Linked DNA regions of Callithrix jacchus. The protein of the gene in region 3 interacts with the protein of the main gene of each other region in a biochemical or structural test. Links are inferred from orthologs where the notes say so. Each region holds a gene or a part of one and is shown on either strand. Other genes may lie near its edges.

Region 1 (4,040 bases), on a different chromosome or scaffold from region 3:
ATTGGCCCCTCAGGCAAATTTCAAATCCATTGGTTGAGGCTTGAAGATTTCCACTTCTCCGTGCCAGCAGTTCTGGGCTTTGTCGTGTCATTCTCTCATCTTAACCAAAAGCTCATGTTCACATTTAGTCCACAAACGAGGGTCATGGGCTAGGTAGGGAGGAGGCAACCTTCACAAAGTGAATGTTTTCTTAACCCTTTCCAGAACCCCATAGTACAGTCATTTCAGCTCATGCCTCGAGGATGTTTTCTGAAAAAAGAAAGTGCCCTTTCAGCACTCTTGGTGTCTGATTTCAAACCCTGCCCTTCCATCGGGTGTTTGTAAGTGGGCTGACAATGCTGCCCTGTTTTTACTGATTTTCCCACAGGGTTTAGTCACCCAGGTGCTCTCTATACCACATACTTGGGTTCGGGTTAAGGGGATGGGTCTAGAGCCCAGGGCCTCTACACTACTTTCCTTTAAGGCTTAAAGGACAATTCAAGGTAACTTTGATTTGTGTTCATCTGAACATGTGGAAACATTCACCCCAATTATTCCACTGATGAGCTTACAATGTGGTCTCCCTTACAATGGAGTTTTTCTCTACCTGACTGGTCTCCAGGGTGTGAGCAGGAAGCATGCCCTCCAGCATCCCCTTTAAAAAAAACCTGGGGCCGGGTGCAGTGACTCATACATGTAATCCCAGCACTTTGGGAGGCAGAAGCTGGTGTATCACTTGAGTCCAGGAGTTCGAGACCAGCCTAGACAACATAGCAAACACTATGTCTACTAAAAATACCAAAAAAAAAATTAGCTGGGTGTGGTGGCAGGCACCTATAGTTCCAGCTACTTGGGAGGCTGAGGTGAAAGAATCACTTGAACCTGGGAGGCAGAGGTTGCAGTGAGCCGAGATCACGCCACTGCACTCCAGTCTCAGCAACAGAGCAAGCGTCTGTCTCAAAAAAAAATCTGTTCATCTCTTAGAAGGAATTAGAAATGAAAAAATTGAGTACGGAACCAAGGGGGGAAAATATGGCAGATTGTATATGCAGGGAAGCAACTCACATCTCAGAGGCTGACACAGACAGAGTGTGAGGTGCCACTGAATGTGACTTCAGTGGCACCTCACTTACTAAGGGTACATCCTCAGAATGGGTATGATTTTTTACCCCCACTTTACATAGGAAAAACCTAAGGATTGAGAAAAAGGAAAGTGACTTGCTTATAGAAGGTAGGCACCAAGGCAAAACTCCCTCCAGGGGCTCACACAAACATCAAACAATTCAGCCCTCAGCGAAAAAGCACACAGATGCTTAGAAGCCCCTAGCAAAGAGATGAAGGCCCACCTGCCCTCATCCACAGAGCACTCACAGCAGGGTCAGCTGCCACTGTCCCGGGAAGGATAGGCTGTCGCTGCTCCATCGCTTGCTGGCAGGAGTTGCATGCCAACCATTCTGGAATATTCCTAGTTATCTTGGGAGGAGCTCATAACTCTCAAACCCAAATTAAAGTTCATTTCTCTTTATTTTAAAAAAAAAATGCATCTTACTGATATCAAATAATGGTGGGGCTTCACAAGCTGAGAAATTTTGAAATCACTCTTCTGTATTACTTGTTAACCAGCTGAATTCCAGAGAATGTACATAAGGCATAAACCAAACGATAAATTGGTGATAAGGTGACAGTGTCACATTTTAAACAGTGAAGTTATATTTTCAGAACTTTAATGGATCTAATCGAGTATCTCTCCATAAAAAGAAACACTCCCTAACTTATCTTTTTCTGTAAATCTAGATTCTTTTATATTAAGCTTGCTTGACACAGAGCGTACTTAAATTAATTAAAAGGCGTTTTAATGAACTAAGAATCTTTAAGAAAAAGAGCAATTTTTGGTCATTCTTCTTGCTTGAGGAAATATAGATCTAAGCCCCAATAAGGTTTGACTCTCAGAGGCTAATGTTGACTTTGTTTACCTCATGAAAAGAATGTTGTAACTAATCTGTATGATTTCAGTTATGAGTAAGGCAAGTTGCTTTTTGGTCCACATAAAGGAAAATAAAGATCACAGTTGTCCCGTGCAACTCCAGGGAGAAAAATCAAGGCCAAAGATAAACCCACTGCTCCCTTTGCAGTGGGATAGACAGGCCTTGCCACAGAAGGGGAAAAGGAGTGGCAAAAGGCAAGACAGTGGAGCGAGTGAAAAAAAAAAAAGGTCTCCACTCCTCCACGGGTATCCACACGAACAAGTCATGCCCTGGCAGAAAGCCAAGTCACTCGGCTGGAAACAGGCCCAGGGGATTCCACAGCAGGCTGAAGAGCCGCGGCTTCTGGAAATAAAGCCCCTCCTGTGAAGAACTGCATGGCTTTTCCTCCCAGCCCCAAGCCCACCCCACATCTGGCTTTTGTTGTGTGAATCACAAACCGCCCTGTCTTCACCGCAGTGATTCATGCACAGGAGCGAGGTACCCCGGGCCCGTCCCACCTTGGAACACTAGTTCGTTCCCCTCCAGCCTGGAAAATCAGCATCACCTCTGACAGGCTGGTTTCTCCACCAGGCTCCATGCCGCCCACCTCCCCCGCATCTCACTCCCGGCCTTGGAACCCAGGCCCGGGGGTCCCATCCCCTCCACCAGCAGCTCCCCAGTTCCAGGCCGAGCTGTGATCACCCGGCCCCGTGGCCCTCGCTTGGCTCTGACAGCCACCGCCGAACCACTTACGTTTTTGCCAGAGCATGGCCTGTGACAGGATGTTGCCTTTTCTCTTTGAAGCCGACAGTCTGGCTTCTTGAACGTGAGACCGGGGTGTGCTTTCCTCCAGTGGAGCCACCGCTTGTGCTGAGGCTGTTTCCTGGGCTTTTTAAAGGCCTGGGTTCCCGCTGCGTGGGGCGCGTCATCACGTCCTCCCACCTCAGGCACGGGTGCAACGTTTCTGCAACCAGGCCTCGGGTCACCCCACTGCGCGCGCCCCAGCCGCCCGGGCCCAGAGTGCTCCCCACCAGGAGCCAGCCAGCTGGGACAGAGCAACAGCGCAGCGCGGGCGGCCACAGCCTGCCCCGGCCCCACGGGGACCTGCTGGGTGTGGGTGTGAACGTGGTGTGGGGCGAGCTGTGGGGACCCCACGTCTAGCCCTCCCCAGGCCAGTGATGAGCCCAAAAGCCCCTCTGGAAAACGTTGGGCTTTGCATAGCGCCCGTGCAGGCTTCCAAGCCACCAGGGCATGGGGTAGGACTCAGCCCGCCATGGGTGCCTGCTGTGCGGGAAATGCGATTCCCAGGGGTCACTGGTTCTCGACACGGAGGAAACACCTGTCATCTCATCTCTTCAAGCCTCAGTAAACAACCTTCTCATTCTTTTAATATTGCTTTTCTGTTTATTCCATTTTGAAACACAATAGCCCCTCCCCTCGCCCCCAGCCACCCCCAAAATGGCAAAGCTTAATCATGCTGAAATATGGGGGCGCTGGTTTTGATGGCGGCTATGCCCACGAAGAAAGCGGCCAACCCTCTCAGGGAAGAAAGGAGACTGTGCCCGTGCTTTTTGACTGGAGCTGGGCTTGTAGTCACAGGATGAACAGGGCCTCTCTGCGGGTGCCCACCCACTGGTAACAGGAAGCTTCTTGAAGTAAAAGTCATGAGTTCACCCCCTGGAAGTGTAGAGGGTGTTGGTGACCAGCTCCTTCCCAGTTCGGAAGTCTTCTGCCACTGCATACCTGAGGTCCACATGCTCAGGCTCCAGGGACTCAGCCAGTTTGGGGTCAAGACCCCTTGGTTACCACCCCTCGAGCAGGTGTGAGGCCTTGCTGTTCTGCAGTCCATAGTGTCTCAGAGCCATCTTGCACCACCTAGACCTGATCATGCTATCCTCCAGCCTACAAAGCATTCACCTCCCTTCAGCCACAGAGCTGGGGCCTCGAAGGACTCCCACTATCGAGCCCTTGCCTTCCTTTCCAGCCTCACCACCCACTGCCCTCCAAACACTGGTCCCAGTGCCCTCTGAGCACCACCGAACACCCATGCAATTCCCTCCTTCGACCTTGTCGTCTCTCTTGCTGGGAGGACAAACC
Region 2 (3,514 bases), on a different chromosome or scaffold from region 3:
CCAAAATAAATGCAGCATCATTCTGTTACTAATGAATGCAGCTGATAAAAAACGAGTCTCTAGTCTATTGACATGTATACTGAACTAGATTATACTTACCAGGAGAGAGATCTGTCCTTCTTTAACAATGCTCAAGATGCTTTTTACTTTTTTCAGATACTCACTTCTTTCTTCTGGGCTTTGGGAGCTGGGCCAGTTCATGCTACTGACCTGCTCTTCTTGTTTGGATTCTGCTGCTGAGGATTGCAAGTGGAAGGCCCTGAGCTGGCAGTCTGGTGTTGTCTTCTCAACTTTTCGACCATGAGAATCACTAAATGTCTTGTTTAGGAAGTCTTTACTCTGGTTTTCATATGCAGAGCCACATTTAACCAGAGGAGGTGAGATCTCGGGTTCTTCAGTGGACAGCTTGTGCTGATCGCGGATGACAGCTGATGCTTTTCTCAAGTGAGGGCTTTTCAAGGGAGAAAGAACACAAAATGGTGCCATGTTGGATGGTGAGTTCTCAGAACTTCCTGTAGAGCAGACTTTGCCAGAAAGGCCATTGATGCTTGTGCATAAGCCCAAAATTCTTTTTTCTGAAGTTACCTTGGTAAAAGAGGCAAGCTGCTGACTGGATTTAATATAAGGCACATCCAGAATCTCATCCATGTCAAGGTCATAGTGCTCCAGTTCACCCAGTGGTGTGCTGGGCTCAGAGTTCTTACCTGGTGGGCCGCCCAGTCCATCTCCAGGGCTGAGATCCTCGGGCTGGTGGCCCAGGTCAGACTCACCCCCTTTCTGGTACTCAACCACTTTCTGGTTCTTTTGGTCATCACTTTCATTGTTTTCCAGAGTCTCTGGCTGATGTTTCAGTGGTGAAACACGCTTCACTGGGCGGAACTTACTGTACACATCAGCGATTCCTGTGGGCTTCTGTGTGTTTGTAATAAGAGTTGAGATGCCGCAATTCCAGCTAGAGCTAGAAACTGTTTTTTAAAAATTAAAATAGGAGACTATTAATTTGGAATACTGAACACATCTTGGCTATTTAGGTAGATGTGATTCATTCAAGTTATGTTCAAATTAAGGCTCTGTATATGAGAATGACTTAGAGTGCATGTCCATAGAATAAAAAATTCATACTTACCACTGGAAAACAGTGAATGATAAAAGAAAGTTATAACATACTGGCTCAAAATTAATTAAAGTAGTAATAATGGTAAAAGCAAACAGCCAGGGAAGCAAACTCAGATAGGTATTTAGGTTTATTCCCTGCATAGATCTACCTCCCTGGCAATATTTATATATTTGTCACCATCCTGAAAAACAAGATTACCAAATAAGATCTTCAGTGTTAAATAAACTTCCAAACTAATTTAGGGAGAAAAGGGATGTGTGCACACATGCACACACATTAGCATGCATGTCCACATATACCCTTAATGCTTAAGAAGTTCCATGTAAAGAAGTGGCAAATTATTTAATACTGAGTAAATTCAAACTATGACCTCCTGAGTGACTCCTTAGGTGTACCACTAAGAGGATTATGGAAAGATTAGGAAGAAATGCAGTGGTCAGGAGTTGACAGACTGTGGCAGACAAGACATAGTTGAGTTAAGCCCACCTTGGTCAAAGGATCCTAGTCAACTGTCATGCAGCAGCATTTCATGGTGCTTTCTGACATATGACACAGTGACAGAATGTACTAAGACTTCACAACAGAACATGTTCTTTAAGATTCATACTGCCTTTTATTGTTGAGAAGGCTGGAAGTAAACAGGAGAAGAAAGTTGTGAAAAGAAAATGGGTTAGGCAGAGTGTTTTCTAATTTCTGTGCAAAATTTAGAAAAAGATAGTGTGTTGGTTTGCATTTGATAAGTGTCTGGTTGCGATAGAGTAGAAAGTGAAATAGCCAGAAACACCTGGAGGTGAAAGATAAGAAGAACCATCTCTCCTACTAACCCCTGCATGAGAGGCTGCCTGGTGCCTCCTCTTGGGGCAAGCAGATGGAGCAGCAACAGTCTCCTCAGCCATGATGATGCTGTTTCCTCCCTGGGACACTCCCCTGCTAGGTTAAAGATGACCCCACACCCTTGGAAATGTGCAGGCCACTGACTGATGGGTTCCTAGTTCCCTGCCATGTAGTTCCTATCATCCTTCATCAAAGGATGAGATTTCAGGGCATGCCCTTCAACTAGGGACCTTCCATCTACCCCTTCTCTTCTGAAAAACAAGTGGGAAGGATTTATCCCAAAAGCATGTGTATGTGTGTGTTCTTCACTACCGGGCACAACCAAAGGAAAAAAGAACATGAGATGGGTGGATACTCATGTCTGTAACTTCTGCAATAGCCCCTGGCTTTGACTGATTCTTGGGGTGAAAGTGGAACATACATCATTAAAGTTCTCTAAATTTAAGCTACTGGCCATTCTTTTTCCTGCTGGGATATGTTCTAAAAGGATTCAGAGAAGTTCTGGAACCAAGCTAAGGGGATGACAGTGAGTGCTCTGAGCCTGAATGCTATATAACTATCAGTGAGTTCTTTTCCTTAAATCAACCACAATTTTGCATGAGGTTTCAGAGGGTCTGCACTACGTAGTCCACTTCTCAGACCTTTCTGGCCCTGGCATTTTAGAATCTAAGAAGAGAATACTATGATAAGCTGTGGAAGGAGGGCTGGAGTCTCTCCAATAAGTAATGTGGAAGAGAATGTTCCAGAGGGGAAGGAAGGTATCTAGATGGTCTTAGGCTGTTGCTTTTCTTCCCTTTTGTTGGCTCTAGTTCCTTGTTGTACACAGTGGTTGGCACAGATCAGACAATTAACAAATGCCAGTATGTGAATTTGAATCTCACTTTGCACAACACGTTAAATCTTCTAAAATGCACAAAGTGCATCCTTCTGCGGGATTTACAGTTGAATTTCACAGGGGACAAAACCCTGTTAATAAACTCAGCAGAGTGATAATCACCAGTAAGAGCCCAATTTGCTAAAGTTATTTATGAAATGTAAATATGCAAAGGCAAAGACTAATTCCAGTTGGTCTCTTATAAATTTAAAAGTTTTCTATCTCTTACATGACCTTTTCTCTCTAAAAATATAAAGCCATGAAAAATTAATGTCTGCCAGAAAATTCTGCCAAGTCTTTCTCTTTTCAAGAACACATGGTTACTTATTTAATTAAAACAGCAGGAGATAGTGGACATAGAGTTTATAAGATGTAAATATGCCTTTAATTTTATTCATCAACTTTCTGCATATCTTTAAATAAAATGGGAAAAAATTTTACTCATAGACATTTCTGAGATACACTGTTATTATTGGGTATATTTGCTAATATTTTGCCGATTACCTTGATTTCTTTGGAACCTCTAGAAAATGGGCATCTCAGAATGTAATAAAAAATTTTAAAGCCACATAACTTAGTAGGTCAATACAAAGAATGCATTGTACCAATATATTTATGTATTATATGAGGTCGTAGGTTCAAAGGGCTACTCTTTTATGTTGGCTTTATTTACATGTGAAATTTTTTCC
Region 3 (3,973 bases):
AAATATAAAGAAAATTAGCCGAAGACGGTGGTGCCTAGTGATTGGGGAGATTCAGGTGGGAGGGGATTGCTTGAGCCCAAAAGACCGAGGCTGCAGTGAGTGGAGATTGTGCCACTGCACTCAGACCTGGGCAAGAGTGAGACCCTGTCTCAAAAACAACAACAACAAAACAAAAAACTTGTCTGTGGGGTAGACTGTATTTATTTTCAATCATATTTCTTTTCCTAATACTCTTTTGTGTAGCCTATATTGTAAAATGAGGTTGAGGTGATTGAACACACTGTTAATAGAGTGAGGAAGTGGTTAGAGTTAAAATTTCTTGCTGAAAGTGGGTAATCTGCAATTCCCTACATTGGGTTGATTCCTCTCTGCCAGCTCTTGCTGCATTTAGAGGCTGCCCTAAGCATGATGTAATGACAGGTTAAACCTCTGCACGCACTAGCTGATGCAATGCAAATCTGAGGCCCAGGACTTTATTGGGGCAAGGGTAATGCTTGTTTAAAAACAAAACAAGCTACTCTGCGTTTAATGAGGCCATTTAAGATGGCTTTCCCAGAGTGGGAAGAGAGTATACTCTCTTAGGAGGTTTAAGTAGGAGTTTAATGTGGCAGAAGTATGCTTACTACTTTTCCTGCAAAGTGTTTTCGCAGCGGGGAAGGGGAATTTAAAATACATTACCGATAGGAGAAGTGAAGTGAGCTAGAATTGAGGAAATTAGTAGTTGATGCCAGTAAATAGCTGTTGAATGAATTAGGGAGAATGTTTTCACTCCAAAATTTTAGAGTTCGGATAAACGTAGAGCGGAGCGCCAGTGTGGCCACGCATTTCAAGATACGCTGTAGCTCTTAGATTGAAACCGTAAGAAACTCCTGATATGAGACTGTTCTGACACACCGAAAACGGCATGGTTCCACCTAACTTTAAACTGGTGGAAATGCTGAGGAAGGCTCGATGTCGCTGGGGTGCGGTGGTATGCGGTCCATGGCGGGGTGGGGTCCATGGCGGGGTGGCACGGGGTCAGAGCTGCGGGGTCCCGCGGCCCCGCCCTGGGTTGTGGGGCGGGGCTTGCGGGCACGGCCCCACCTCTGCGCGAGCGAGACGGGCACCGCCCTGCACGCTGCGCGCCCTGGACTGGCCCTTGGCTCTCCTGGTTGGAGCGGGCGTTCCCGGCGCAGGCCCATCCCCAGCTGGCCGAGGCTCCAAATGGCTCTCCCGGCAGGCGGGCTCCTGCAGTAGCCCCTGAGCTGGCTCAGGGAGCGTACTTCCTTCTCAGCCAGCGGGTCACCCCTCCACCAGAGCCGAGCAGGAGCCTACCCAGTGAATCTGGAGAAGACAAACTTGGGAGACAGACGAAGGCTTAGGGCATGGTGGAGGACAGCGCAGCTGTGGCTCCCATTTTCGGAGATGCAGCCGAATTTGAGCTCACGGGGAGGTGTGGTTGCCTCCTGGGGATGGAAAGGCTTTCTTTCTCCACCTCTGTAACTGGTGCTTCTGAGAAGTGAAACGATATTTGGATCCTGACCTCAGACGCCAATTTGGGTCTTTTGTGTTTAGGAGCAGAAAGTGCCCAGGAGGGTCCTGTACCTTTACTTCTTGGAAAAGGCAGTGAGCTGCCTGAGTTCTCATGACGGGAAAGCCTATTCCACCTTCTCTTTACTCCTGGAGGGGAGTCTTGTTCACATGTTTACCGGCGACTAGGACAAGGAAGAGAAAAGGTATTGACATTAACAGGATGGGTTGCTGAGGCTGTGAAACTTGAACGCTGTTAGTCAGTGGAACCTGCCTGGCTTACGGAATGGCTGCAGCAGAATCGAGCTGTTTCCTAGGTTAGCAGTCATGTTTCATTTGGGCTGTTGTGCTTTTTTTCTGTTTAAATCAAACTTCAGGTTACGTCATGACTTCTGCAGGGCTGTCCTTGGTTCCTACTGCAGGGCGGCTGTGTGGTTGGGATTCCTTTTCTGTTTCAAGATGGAGCTGGGTAGCACCTTTGGAGCTTGGAGAGGCTTTAGCAGTTGCTGTCCTGTATACCTCCATTTACAAGAAATCCTGTTCCCATTTCGGTTTTCACACTTTGAGTAAGAGTTAAAATCTGCTTTATTACAGTGTTTGGAAAATGATAAAGATATATTGTAATGTGAGCCTGAACTGTTGATGATAAATGTATAACTACTGCTAGGTCAAGAAATTGAAAAATAATGTTTTGATTGGTCTGTAGCTGTGTTGTGTTAAATATAAACTGAGTTTACTGCCCTTGGATGTGATTCTCTGGTTTGGTTTGGTAATTTGAAAGGTATTGGTTGCCTAGACTGTTTTGTGCCCAAGGAAACACTTTCTAATTGTTATGCTGTTAATTCAGTAAGCAGCATAAACTGGACCATGCAGTAGGCATACAGCATACAGCCAGGATGTTTTGGCAATGCTGAGCCCACTGTTTTACAAGTGACATAAAATGTATGGATCATCGTATGTACAAAGAATCCACTCAGGGAAACCGGATTACAGGAGAGTTCCTTTACAGTCCTTTTGTCAGGGTACAGAACACCTGGGTTACACAGGGCTTCAGATGAGAGTTGATTCATGATCTGAGTCTATATGATGAGACACATTATGATGGAATTGTCACTTTTGTTGCCTCTTGAACTTTAAAATATATCTTTAGTGATGTGGAATTAATCTTTATTTTTCCTTCACCCTCAGCCTTCATTTAAGGTATCAGTTGGTAACCACCTGAGTAATCTAGAACCCAAGTTGCATTTACTTGGTCATATTGGTAACTAACATTGTTTCTCAAAAGTTTCTTGCAACAGAATAATGACTATAATTGAGATAAAACATTAACTTTAAGGCTTTAACTTTGTAAGAATATGGCTTAGTATAGTTACTAGGAGTGTATTCTTAGGACATCGACCGATCTATTTTTTCACCCCCAAGACAAATAGTGGCCTCCTATATCCCAGCCCAGGGAGCTCTTTGGGATGAGTTACTTGTTTTATCTTTGACTCAGCCTGACTAGTTACATTGTCGATCATTTCTTCCAGATGACATTTATCTGTCAAATAATGTTGATTAGTCTGCTGATGAATGTTTAAACAACGCTGGAGAACCCTAGGCTAAGGGGTTCTACACCTGTTGACTCCATCCCCCACTCCCAGTGTGGTGTGTCTCTGCCGTGCTATCTGTATTCTTCCCCTGTTCAGTTTCTCCCTGACTCTCCTTCTTTGTTCATTATGTCTGATTTATATTGTGGATTGCAAATAGAGAAAGATATGCTTTCTCTACGACACCAAAAAGTTTTATTTGAGATGGCTCTCCATTTCTCCCACGTCTCCCTTCACTTTTGCTGTGTTTTTATTTATTTTTATATTTTTGCTACCTTCACTAGAGAGTACATCCCCTCACTCTTGAGGTGGGCACTGATCAGTAGGAAAGAAGATCAATACCTGGCTGATGATAATTTGGGGGGCAGATTGATAGATAAAGGGGATGGCAGCAGATCTTTCCCCTTGTGATCCCTCCCCTCATTCCTAAATTACACCTCTAGAGTAGGTAACTGCTCACCATTAAGAAGAGTTAATGGAAGGCATTTGAACTACACTCATCCCGTGGTATCCTCGGAAGATTAGTTCCAGGATCCCCTTCCCCATACCAAAACCTGAGGATGTTCAAGTCTCTGATAGAACATGTTATCATATTTGTATATAACCTGTGCATATTCTCCTGTATAATTTATCTCTGGATTACTTACACTTAATACAATGTAAATAATAGGTAAATAGTTGTTATATATGTTTTATTTTAAAAATTTTGTATTATTTTAAAATTTTTCTGAATATTTTCAATCCATGGCTGGTAAATAGTTATATATGTTTTATTTTAAAAATTTTGTATTATTTTAAAATTTTTCTGAATGTTTTCAATCCATGGCTGGTGAAGTCCTCAGATGCAGATTCTGTGGTTACAGAGTGCCGATTTT
Region 4 (3,514 bases), on a different chromosome or scaffold from region 3:
TAAACTGAGGTCCCTCTTACCTTGTGAAATCTTACAAAGCTATAAATAGAATTATAATTTTAGATGAAAACCAGGACTAAAATTATTATCCCTAATAAGATCATTTGAAAAGCATATTTTGTACAAAGGGGTACCATCATGACCAACAATGCATTCAAGCATTGGCTGAAGAACTTCACTAGAAGCCCAGTCAGGATTTGCCATAATTAGCATTCATCACACCAGACAATAGACATGTAACTACATGTACTAAATTTAAATATATCACAGATATTTTTGTTCTGCCTTTTTATTATAAGTGCTTTAATGGGCTATCAAGGTAAGACTGCTACCTAGGATTACATGAAGTGGAAACAACTCAGAATAGTTTGCCAGCAAATAAAACTTCTTTCTCACAATTTTCAAGATATTCATCCAAAATCATTTTGGTTGGAACTAGTGGATGGCTGAATAGCACTGTTCTTATACTAAGCATACGATTATAAAAGACGCAGAAATAAAAGTCATTCTGCTTACTCACTTATCTCCTTCCTTCCTTCCCTAATTTAATAAATGTTTGTAAATTGTCTAGTACAAGTTGGAAACTCTCCTAGACACTTGTGAACTATCAGTAAAAAATGTAAATATATTTCACTCTCATGGTGCCTACATTCTAGAAGGGAAAAATAAAATAAACAACATACATTAAAGTAAGCATATTATTTATTGTATTTAAAGGTGATGAACACTTTGGCAAGGAAGGAAGGAAGGAAGGAAGGAAGGAAGGAAGGAAGGAAAGAAAAAGACTAGGGAGACTGGGCACACCAGAAGGAAGGAAGGAAGGAAGGAAGGAAGGAAGGAAGGAAGGAAGGAAGGAAGGAAGGAGGGAAGGAGGGAAGGAGGGAAGGAGGGAAGGAGGGAAGGAGGGAAGGAGGGAAGGAGGGAAGGAGGGAAGGAGGGAAGGAGGGAAGGAGGGAAGGAGGGAAGGAGGGAAGGAGGGAAGGAGGGAAGGAGGGAGGGAGGGAGGGAGGGAGGGAAGGAAGGAAGGAAGGAAGGAAGGAAGGAAGGAAGGAAGGAAGGAGAAGGAAGGAAGGAAGGAAAGAAAGAAAGAAAGAAAGAAAGAAAGAAAGAAAGAAAGAAAGAAAGAAAGAAAAGAAAAGAAAAGAAAAGAAAAGAAAAGAAAAGAAAAGAAAGGGACTAGGGAGACTGGGCACACCAGAGGTGAGGAGGACACCAATTTTACATAGGTTAGAGCTAGTTCCATTTTAAATATGGAACCTCATATTGTATTAGTTCCATATTTAAAATGAAAGTTATAATATCTTTGGTAAAATCTTATTTGTGTCCTATATTTGTCAAAAAAAATTCAGTCAAAATTCTTCTCAGAATTTTAAAACTTACCTCAAAAGTATGATCTCTGATTGGTATGTGTTTTAAGTCTCTCAGTTCCCACAAACATGTATTTGGTAATGAACTGTTAAGTAATATGCAAATATGCCATTTAATAAGAGATGATGTCACTATAAAGAAATCAAGTAAAAGAACTCTATTTTGGAAATTAAGAAATTAGGCACAAAGAGATTTGTTATTCCAATGAAGAGAAATTTCAAGACTTATAGTTAACATGAAAGCACTCATTCTTTCTGAAATGTCACACTGTTCCTTTGGCATTTTAATAAATTGTTTGTTTCATTAGCTTTCTTCCAGAAATTGAAAAAATCATGATAATTGTACCATTTGCATGGCGTTTATCTGGGTTAATGCCTGAAGAAAACAAGACCTATATAAAGGTAGCACTTTTTCACAACGGGAGGGTCAGGTAGCCATTTCCCACAGTAAGCATCTTGCTCCCGCCTCCAGGCCTCACATGAAAATGAACCATGATCTCACCAGCTTGTAAATGTAACACAAAGTGTACACAGCCATACCTTGCCCAAGTGGTCCTTTTTGACAAAGCCAGTGGCTGCTGCAATGTTCCCTGCTCCCTCCACTGTCTTCTGGGCTACTGCTGTCACACCCGTCACCACTGCTCCTCCAACATTTGTCACTTGCTCTTTGGTCTTCTCAGCCACTGGTACAAATCAAGAACAACAACAGATTAAAGGGTGGTAGAGTAACACTGACTTAAAATCATTCCACTTCCACTAGCCATCAACTTCTATACACCTGTATTTACACATGCCAAAGACAACTGAGGGGTCAGAAGAAACACAGTAACCAAGATTTCCAAGTCAGTGTGGTTCAAACAAACACTGAATCTTGGCTAAGATGTTTTTGCTATAATCATGCAGTATTAAAAGTGCTTCAAGTTTAATGATCAGGAATGTAAAGCCATGAGTGATTTGGATTTGCTTTATCCTAAGGAAAGTTTAGAGAAAGCAACGCTTACAGGTGCAGTTATAGTTGAACCAGACTCAGTATGAATACTTCATTATTTCAATTCAGTGTCAGTCCTTTGATCTCACACAGCAAGTTTATTTCCATCACACCTTCTTAGCAACACAGTACATACTTCTGAGCTTTTTTATTTTATTATTATTTTTTTGAGACGAAGTTTCACTCTTGTTGCCCAGGCTGGAGTGCAATGACATAATCTTGGCTCACTGCAACCTCCGCCTTTCAAGTTCAAGCAATTCTCCTGCCTCAGCCTCCTGAGTAGCTGGGATTACAGGTGCCCTCCACCACATTTGGCTAATTTTTAAAAATATTTTTATTTTTAGTAGATACAGCATTTCACCATGTTGGTCAGGCAGATCTCAAACTTCTGACCTCAGGTGATCCACCCGCCTCAGCCTCCTTTACAGGCATGACCCACTGCGCCCAGCCCATACTTATCAATGTGTTCAGACACGGTATTATCACATATATATGATTAATAGTATAAGAGATGGCTGTGAAGGAACTTGGATCTTTTTATAGAACTTCAGGTAGTGAAACAGAAGTGTTCTTAAAAAGCAAAATTTGCAGTTATTTTGATAGGCGCAAAGGAGCTAGACAGTATGAAAATGAAGAGGCAATTGAGCACCCTAACAATTTCTTTTCATTAAAGAAAATGTGATATGGTCATTCAGTAGATTTATTTTAGAAAGTTAATGTTTTAGAAGACAATGTAAATAATTTGAATTGGGTTTATAAGCGGAAATTTAATGTCATGTCAAAAATTCTCTTGTTCAGTGAAATCAGCCAGAAACAGAAAGGCAAACACCACATGATCCCACTTATGTGGAATCTAAAGAAAAAAAAGAGTTGATATCATAGAAGCAAAGAGTATAACAGTGGAGGCAAGTGGAGGATGGGGACAGGTTAGTTATATTCTTCCTTAGGTGCTCGTCTAAAAAAATGAAGGCACATTTTCTTGATATGCTTTGTACTCCCCAGATAAGCCACAGTCTGAGAGGAGTTACACCATGTCAGCTGTTTAGTGCTATTCACATGATTACTGTATAGCTTTCATCTCTCCAGTTGAAGAAGCCCATAGTTAAATGGTGTGGGCAAAGCAATTTGTTTTCAAATACATTATGTATGTCATAGAAGC
Region 5 (4,237 bases), on a different chromosome or scaffold from region 3:
TGCTCATTTAACATGCCCACAGGGAGTCCACGTGCTCTGATTGAGACAGGGGAAAAATCAGGTTCCCTGAACCCAGCGGATGTCACTACGGCGGGAGAAAGGAGGTCATCAGAGTCTTGGCACACTCATCGCAGTGAGTGAATGTGGGTCCTAGCAATCTAATCCTTGATTCTAGAGGTCACCTGTCTGTTCTGAGCATATCCAACAGTCTCTTTCAAAAACCCCCGGCCGTGGGCTTTCGGCAGAGTGATGTGGGCTAGTTGAGGTGGGGTGAGAAGGAAGATTAGAAAAAGAATGATAAAGGTGCACAGAGACACACCCGGAATAAAAGGGTGCACAGCGCAGGAATAATGAAGAGGGCACATGGACAAGATGGAGGGAAACCGAGGTCTGAAAAAGGCCACCACGGAGGTCACCTGAGACAGGGAAGGAAGGCTGGCAAATAAAAACAATTCATGAGACCTTTGAGATCCATGAGGATTCTTAAACATAACACCCTACACACCTGCAGTTCTTTATCTGGCTTAAGGAACTGGAGGAACAATGTAGCAGGAACCGGGAGAGGCCAAGTCTCAGCCTCCGGGGCACCGCCTACATTCCATATGGATTTAGAATGAAAGGGGCAGGAGAAGAACAGTGCGGTTCCCAAGATGGCTTTCCATAAAGTTGACAAAATACATCCCAACTCACATACCCGGTCCCTAGTAACAGGGAAACCAGCCGTCTACTATAGTTCTGAATTCAATGCCAAGTTCCTTCTCTCAACTCACCGAGAGTGTCCAGCAGAGGGAGTCTCAAGGAGGTACTTAATAAAGAGAAAATTGTTTCATTTTAACACTCTAGACAGTGGGAGCATTGACTGTAGCCCCCTCCTGTAGACGCAGATGAACAATGAATGGCCGACATGGGTTCTCCCACATGTTCACATGTCCACCGGCATGTTCTATTCTGAGTGGTGGAGTGATCAGAAATTTCGTTTTGTTTTGTCCAACGGTTAAATGGACCTTGTGTTCTTCAGAATCAAAGAGGAAAGCCCCTGGAATAACATCTCTCTGTTGCCTTCTAAACAGCCCCTTTGTTTCTAAGAGAGTCTGAAAAAAAATATTTACAGTCCATAGGTTATTTACAGCCTCGTTATCCAGGGCCTGACTGGTAACTTTATTCCGGCCAGAAATCTAATTCATTTGGAGCCCTGGAACTAATAACAGATTTTCTTTTCAGATAAGTTTTTTTTTTTTAATCAGCCTCTTATAACAGAGATAAAACTATTAATGCCTTCCCTGTCTCACTGGCCACAACTGTTCTCTGGATTTATAGGCGGATTACACTCCCCCCTCATGCCCTCCTCTGTGACACATAAACCCTGTACCCTCTCATTTGCGATTTCACCCCACAGAATATCCGAACAAAACCGAAAGAAAGCCAGGGGGACCCACGCTAAAAGTATGTGAAGGCTGCGATTTCAATGATTTCACGAGACAAACATTTGCACGATGAAACAACAGAAAAATCAGACACACAGGTTTAAAATTCCCCCTACTACAAGCACACAAAAACACATCGAAGTGTAAAAACTTAGTTGATTCTGGGTTGCTTTCTGGCTGGAAGCTGACAGAACGGACCGAAGAGAAACGAAACAGAGTGTGCGAGGCAGACCCACGGCTTCTCCGCCTCGCGTTCTTTTCTTTCTTCCTAAAGGCAGTCAAATGGGGGAAAACACCCCGACGCCAGGTGAAGGTGCACCACACAGGTCGACCCAGACTGAGCCAGAAAAACGTCTCCGCGGCTTCCCCGGCTGGAAAACCCAAAGTCCACGTACCCTTGCACACGCTAATGCGGGGAGATTTTCGCCTGTTTCATTGTTCTGCCTGGCTCTGACATGGACTTTTCATCCCTCTCCTCTCTCCCCACCTAGCCCCGCGCGTTCCGATTCCACGGCCCCCCCCCAAAATCGGAGGCTCGCGGAGAATAAAGGAGCGTGGGGTGGGCGCGGAGAGAAATGGGAAGGGGCGCGGGGCGGAGAGCGAAGTGGAAAGGAGGTGCTCCGAGAGGTAGCGTGGGGGGGCGGTGGAAGCTGAGCCGCAGCACCTTCATTTATCGCAAATAAATAAAAAGCACAGTCACGGGTCCGCCTTCCCTGGCGCCCCTGCCCTCCCCGGGCAGCCGCCCACCCTCGCACACGCCCCCTCCCTTCCCGCGCCCCCGGCCCCTCTCCCCGCCCTGGAAGCGGCCCCGCCGGCGCCGGGTCCCGGTCATCTTCCGGGCGCGGGAGGGGGTCGCGGCCCCCTCGGGCCCCGGGTGGGGGCTGGGGCGGGCGCCGGGGGCTGCGGGCGCGGGGCCGCGGGCAGAACAAAGCTGCGGGGGCCGCGGCGGGGCGGCGGGAGAGGGGTCGGCGGGGCCGGGCGCCCCTTACCTTCGTACACGGGGGCCATCGGGGCCGGGGTGTCCGCGGTTCATGGCAACGGGGACGGGAAAGCGGCGCGCGAGCTCGGCCCCCCCAGCCTCAGTCGGAATCTGCCATCTTGAGCCTGTGTCTCCGCTCTCGGCGCAGCCGAGGCCGCCCGCGCCCGCATCACCGCCTCCCGTGGCCGGCGCCGGGGGAGGGGGCCGGGCGCGCCGCCGCCGCCGCCGCCACCGCCGCTGCCGCCCGGGCCCGGCGCGGGGGGCTCGGGGCTCGGGGCTCGGGGCGGCCGGGCGGGCGGAGCGGCCGAGGCCGAGGCGCCGAGCGGCCGCGGCCCCCGAGCGGGTCCGCGGAGGGGCGGGAGCCGGGGGCAGCGCGCGGCCAGGGCCGGCGGGGCTCAGCTCAGCATGGCTGGGCGCGGGGGCTCCGCAAAAGTTGCTAACGGAGGGGGGCGGCGGGCGGGGGCGGGGCGCGGGGCCGGGAGAGCCACAGGGAGTCCGCGCGCAATCGAGCGCCGATGGCACGGATGCGAGGCGGGGAAGGCCGAGCCGAAGGGCAGAGCCGCGCCGGCGGCCGGAGGGGACCGCGCGGGGAGGGGCGGCCGCGCAGCGCGGAGGGACGGGGCGCGGGGCGGGCCCCGGGGAGCCGCTGGGGGGGCGGCCTGGGCCGGGCAGGCACACGGCTCCGAGCCCAGCGCAGCCAAGCCGGTCCGCAGAGGGGCCCCAGAACTTTGTGTGTGTGTGTGTGTGTGTGTGTGCACGTGTGTCTGTGCGCGCGCGCGCGTGTGTGTGCCAGGGTGCGAGGGTGCGCGCGTGCTGGCCCGGAGCGGAACCGACCCTAAGGAGAGCCCCCGGCTGCAAAGTGGTTCGCCCGTCTCGCAGCCCGTTGGTTCTCGCGGAGGTAGGAGTAGAATGAATGAAGGAAAGAGTGGGAGCGCGCCGTGCTCCCAGGGAGGGCGGGTGAGTGGACGAGCTTCGGAAAGCTACACGAGGTCAGAGGCACCAAGCCCTGCAGTGCACGCCGCGGAAAGGCAGCCCCCGGGGTGGTCGCCGGGTTCCTGCCGGAATCTGGCTTCCAAGACACCCTGATCTTCGCCTCGTCGCGTCTACACTGTCCCGAGCCCCACCCTCCCCGCACCCCATCACTTGAATGGGAGCTCACAACTGTCTGGGTCCTCGCTTGTCTCAGCGCTCTCTCCGATCAGGGCTTCCGCTAAACATTCTCCAAACTCTCCCCAGCTTGGAGCCTCTACAGGTTTGCCTCTCCAGCTGTCTCCCGTGTGCTTGGATAGGATGCCCTGCCATCCCCTCCAACTTAGGAAGACTTGTTGAGTCTCCTCTTAAGCTGTTTTTAAAACTGTGGGTCGTGACACATTAATAAATCATAAAATAAATGCAGCGGACGGCAACCGGCTTTAAAAAAGAATGAAATTGAATCCAATAGAAAATATTAGAATCCACTGCCCTTAGTAAGGGAAACTATTGTTTCATAAACCTTTTGTTTCAATTATAGGTACTGGACAAGTGTACTGGAGCATGATGTCAATTTTATTTCCAACTGTGGATCGTGGGTTTAACAAAGTTGAGAAGCTATCTTTTTAAGGTGTAAAATAATCATCTCTAACACTGTATGACTTTCTTAAATACAACCCGATGATTTTCTCACTACTTCATATCCTTTCCGTTCTCCATCCTCTATTCCCCCCCAAAAAGGCAAGCTGTTTCCCACTTCGTTAGTGGCACATCACAGCCCCTTCCTCTGTGTGATCTTGGACTCCGCCGTCTTCCTTGCCCCCCACAATCAATGCTACACTTCCTACCACTTCTCTCAACCTAA

Evidence for each region.
Region 1: the proteins of SIAH1 (region 3) and POU2AF1 form a complex in vitro, tested with the Homo sapiens proteins (2 studies listed by BioGRID). The link is inferred for Callithrix jacchus from reciprocal best matches to the Homo sapiens genes SIAH1 and POU2AF1.
Region 2: the proteins of SIAH1 (region 3) and SNCAIP form a complex in vitro, tested with the Homo sapiens proteins (2 studies listed by BioGRID, with this or other methods). The link is inferred for Callithrix jacchus from reciprocal best matches to the Homo sapiens genes SIAH1 and SNCAIP.
Region 4: the proteins of SIAH1 (region 3) and SNCA form a complex in vitro, tested with the Homo sapiens proteins (3 studies listed by BioGRID, with this or other methods). The link is inferred for Callithrix jacchus from reciprocal best matches to the Homo sapiens genes SIAH1 and SNCA.
Region 5: of the proteins of SIAH1 (region 3) and HIPK2, one has a biochemical effect on the other in vitro, tested with the Homo sapiens proteins (4 studies listed by BioGRID, with this or other methods). The link is inferred for Callithrix jacchus from reciprocal best matches to the Homo sapiens genes SIAH1 and HIPK2.

What each region holds. Positions count from the first base shown.
Region 1 is NC_133511.1:11,074,363-11,078,402, forward strand, and holds the start of POU2AF1 (POU domain class 2-associating factor 1), read right to left. Parts: upstream 2,811-4,040; 5' UTR 2,713-2,810; coding exon 2,697-2,712; intron 1-2,696. UniProt on the Homo sapiens protein: Transcriptional coactivator that specifically associates with either POU2F1/OCT1 or POU2F2/OCT2. It boosts the POU2F1/OCT1 mediated promoter activity and to a lesser extent, that of POU2F2/OCT2. It recognizes the POU domains of POU2F1/OCT1 and POU2F2/OCT2.
Region 2 is NC_133503.1:86,899,106-86,902,619, forward strand, and holds part of SNCAIP (synphilin-1), read right to left. Parts: intron 966-3,514; coding exon 100-965; intron 1-99. UniProt on the Homo sapiens protein: Isoform 2 inhibits the ubiquitin ligase activity of SIAH1 and inhibits proteasomal degradation of target proteins. Isoform 2 inhibits autoubiquitination and proteasomal degradation of SIAH1, and thereby increases cellular levels of SIAH.
Region 3 is NC_133521.1:6,077,583-6,081,555, reverse strand, and holds the start of SIAH1 (E3 ubiquitin-protein ligase SIAH1), read left to right. Parts: upstream 1-1,162; 5' UTR 1,163-1,624; coding exon of another isoform or gene 1,625-1,715; 5' UTR 1,716-1,795; coding exon of another isoform or gene 1,796-1,826; 5' UTR 1,827-1,894; coding exon 1,895-2,075; intron 2,076-3,973. UniProt on the Homo sapiens protein: E3 ubiquitin-protein ligase that mediates ubiquitination and subsequent proteasomal degradation of target proteins.
Region 4 is NC_133504.1:107,752,597-107,756,110, reverse strand, and holds part of SNCA (alpha-synuclein), read right to left. Parts: intron 2,051-3,514; coding exon 1,908-2,050; intron 1-1,907. UniProt on the Homo sapiens protein: Neuronal protein that plays several roles in synaptic activity such as regulation of synaptic vesicle trafficking and subsequent neurotransmitter release.
Region 5 is NC_133512.1:107,576,293-107,580,529, reverse strand, and holds the start of HIPK2 (homeodomain-interacting protein kinase 2), read right to left. Parts: upstream 2,806-4,237; 5' UTR 2,458-2,805; coding exon of another isoform or gene 2,433-2,457; coding exon 2,414-2,432; intron 1-2,413.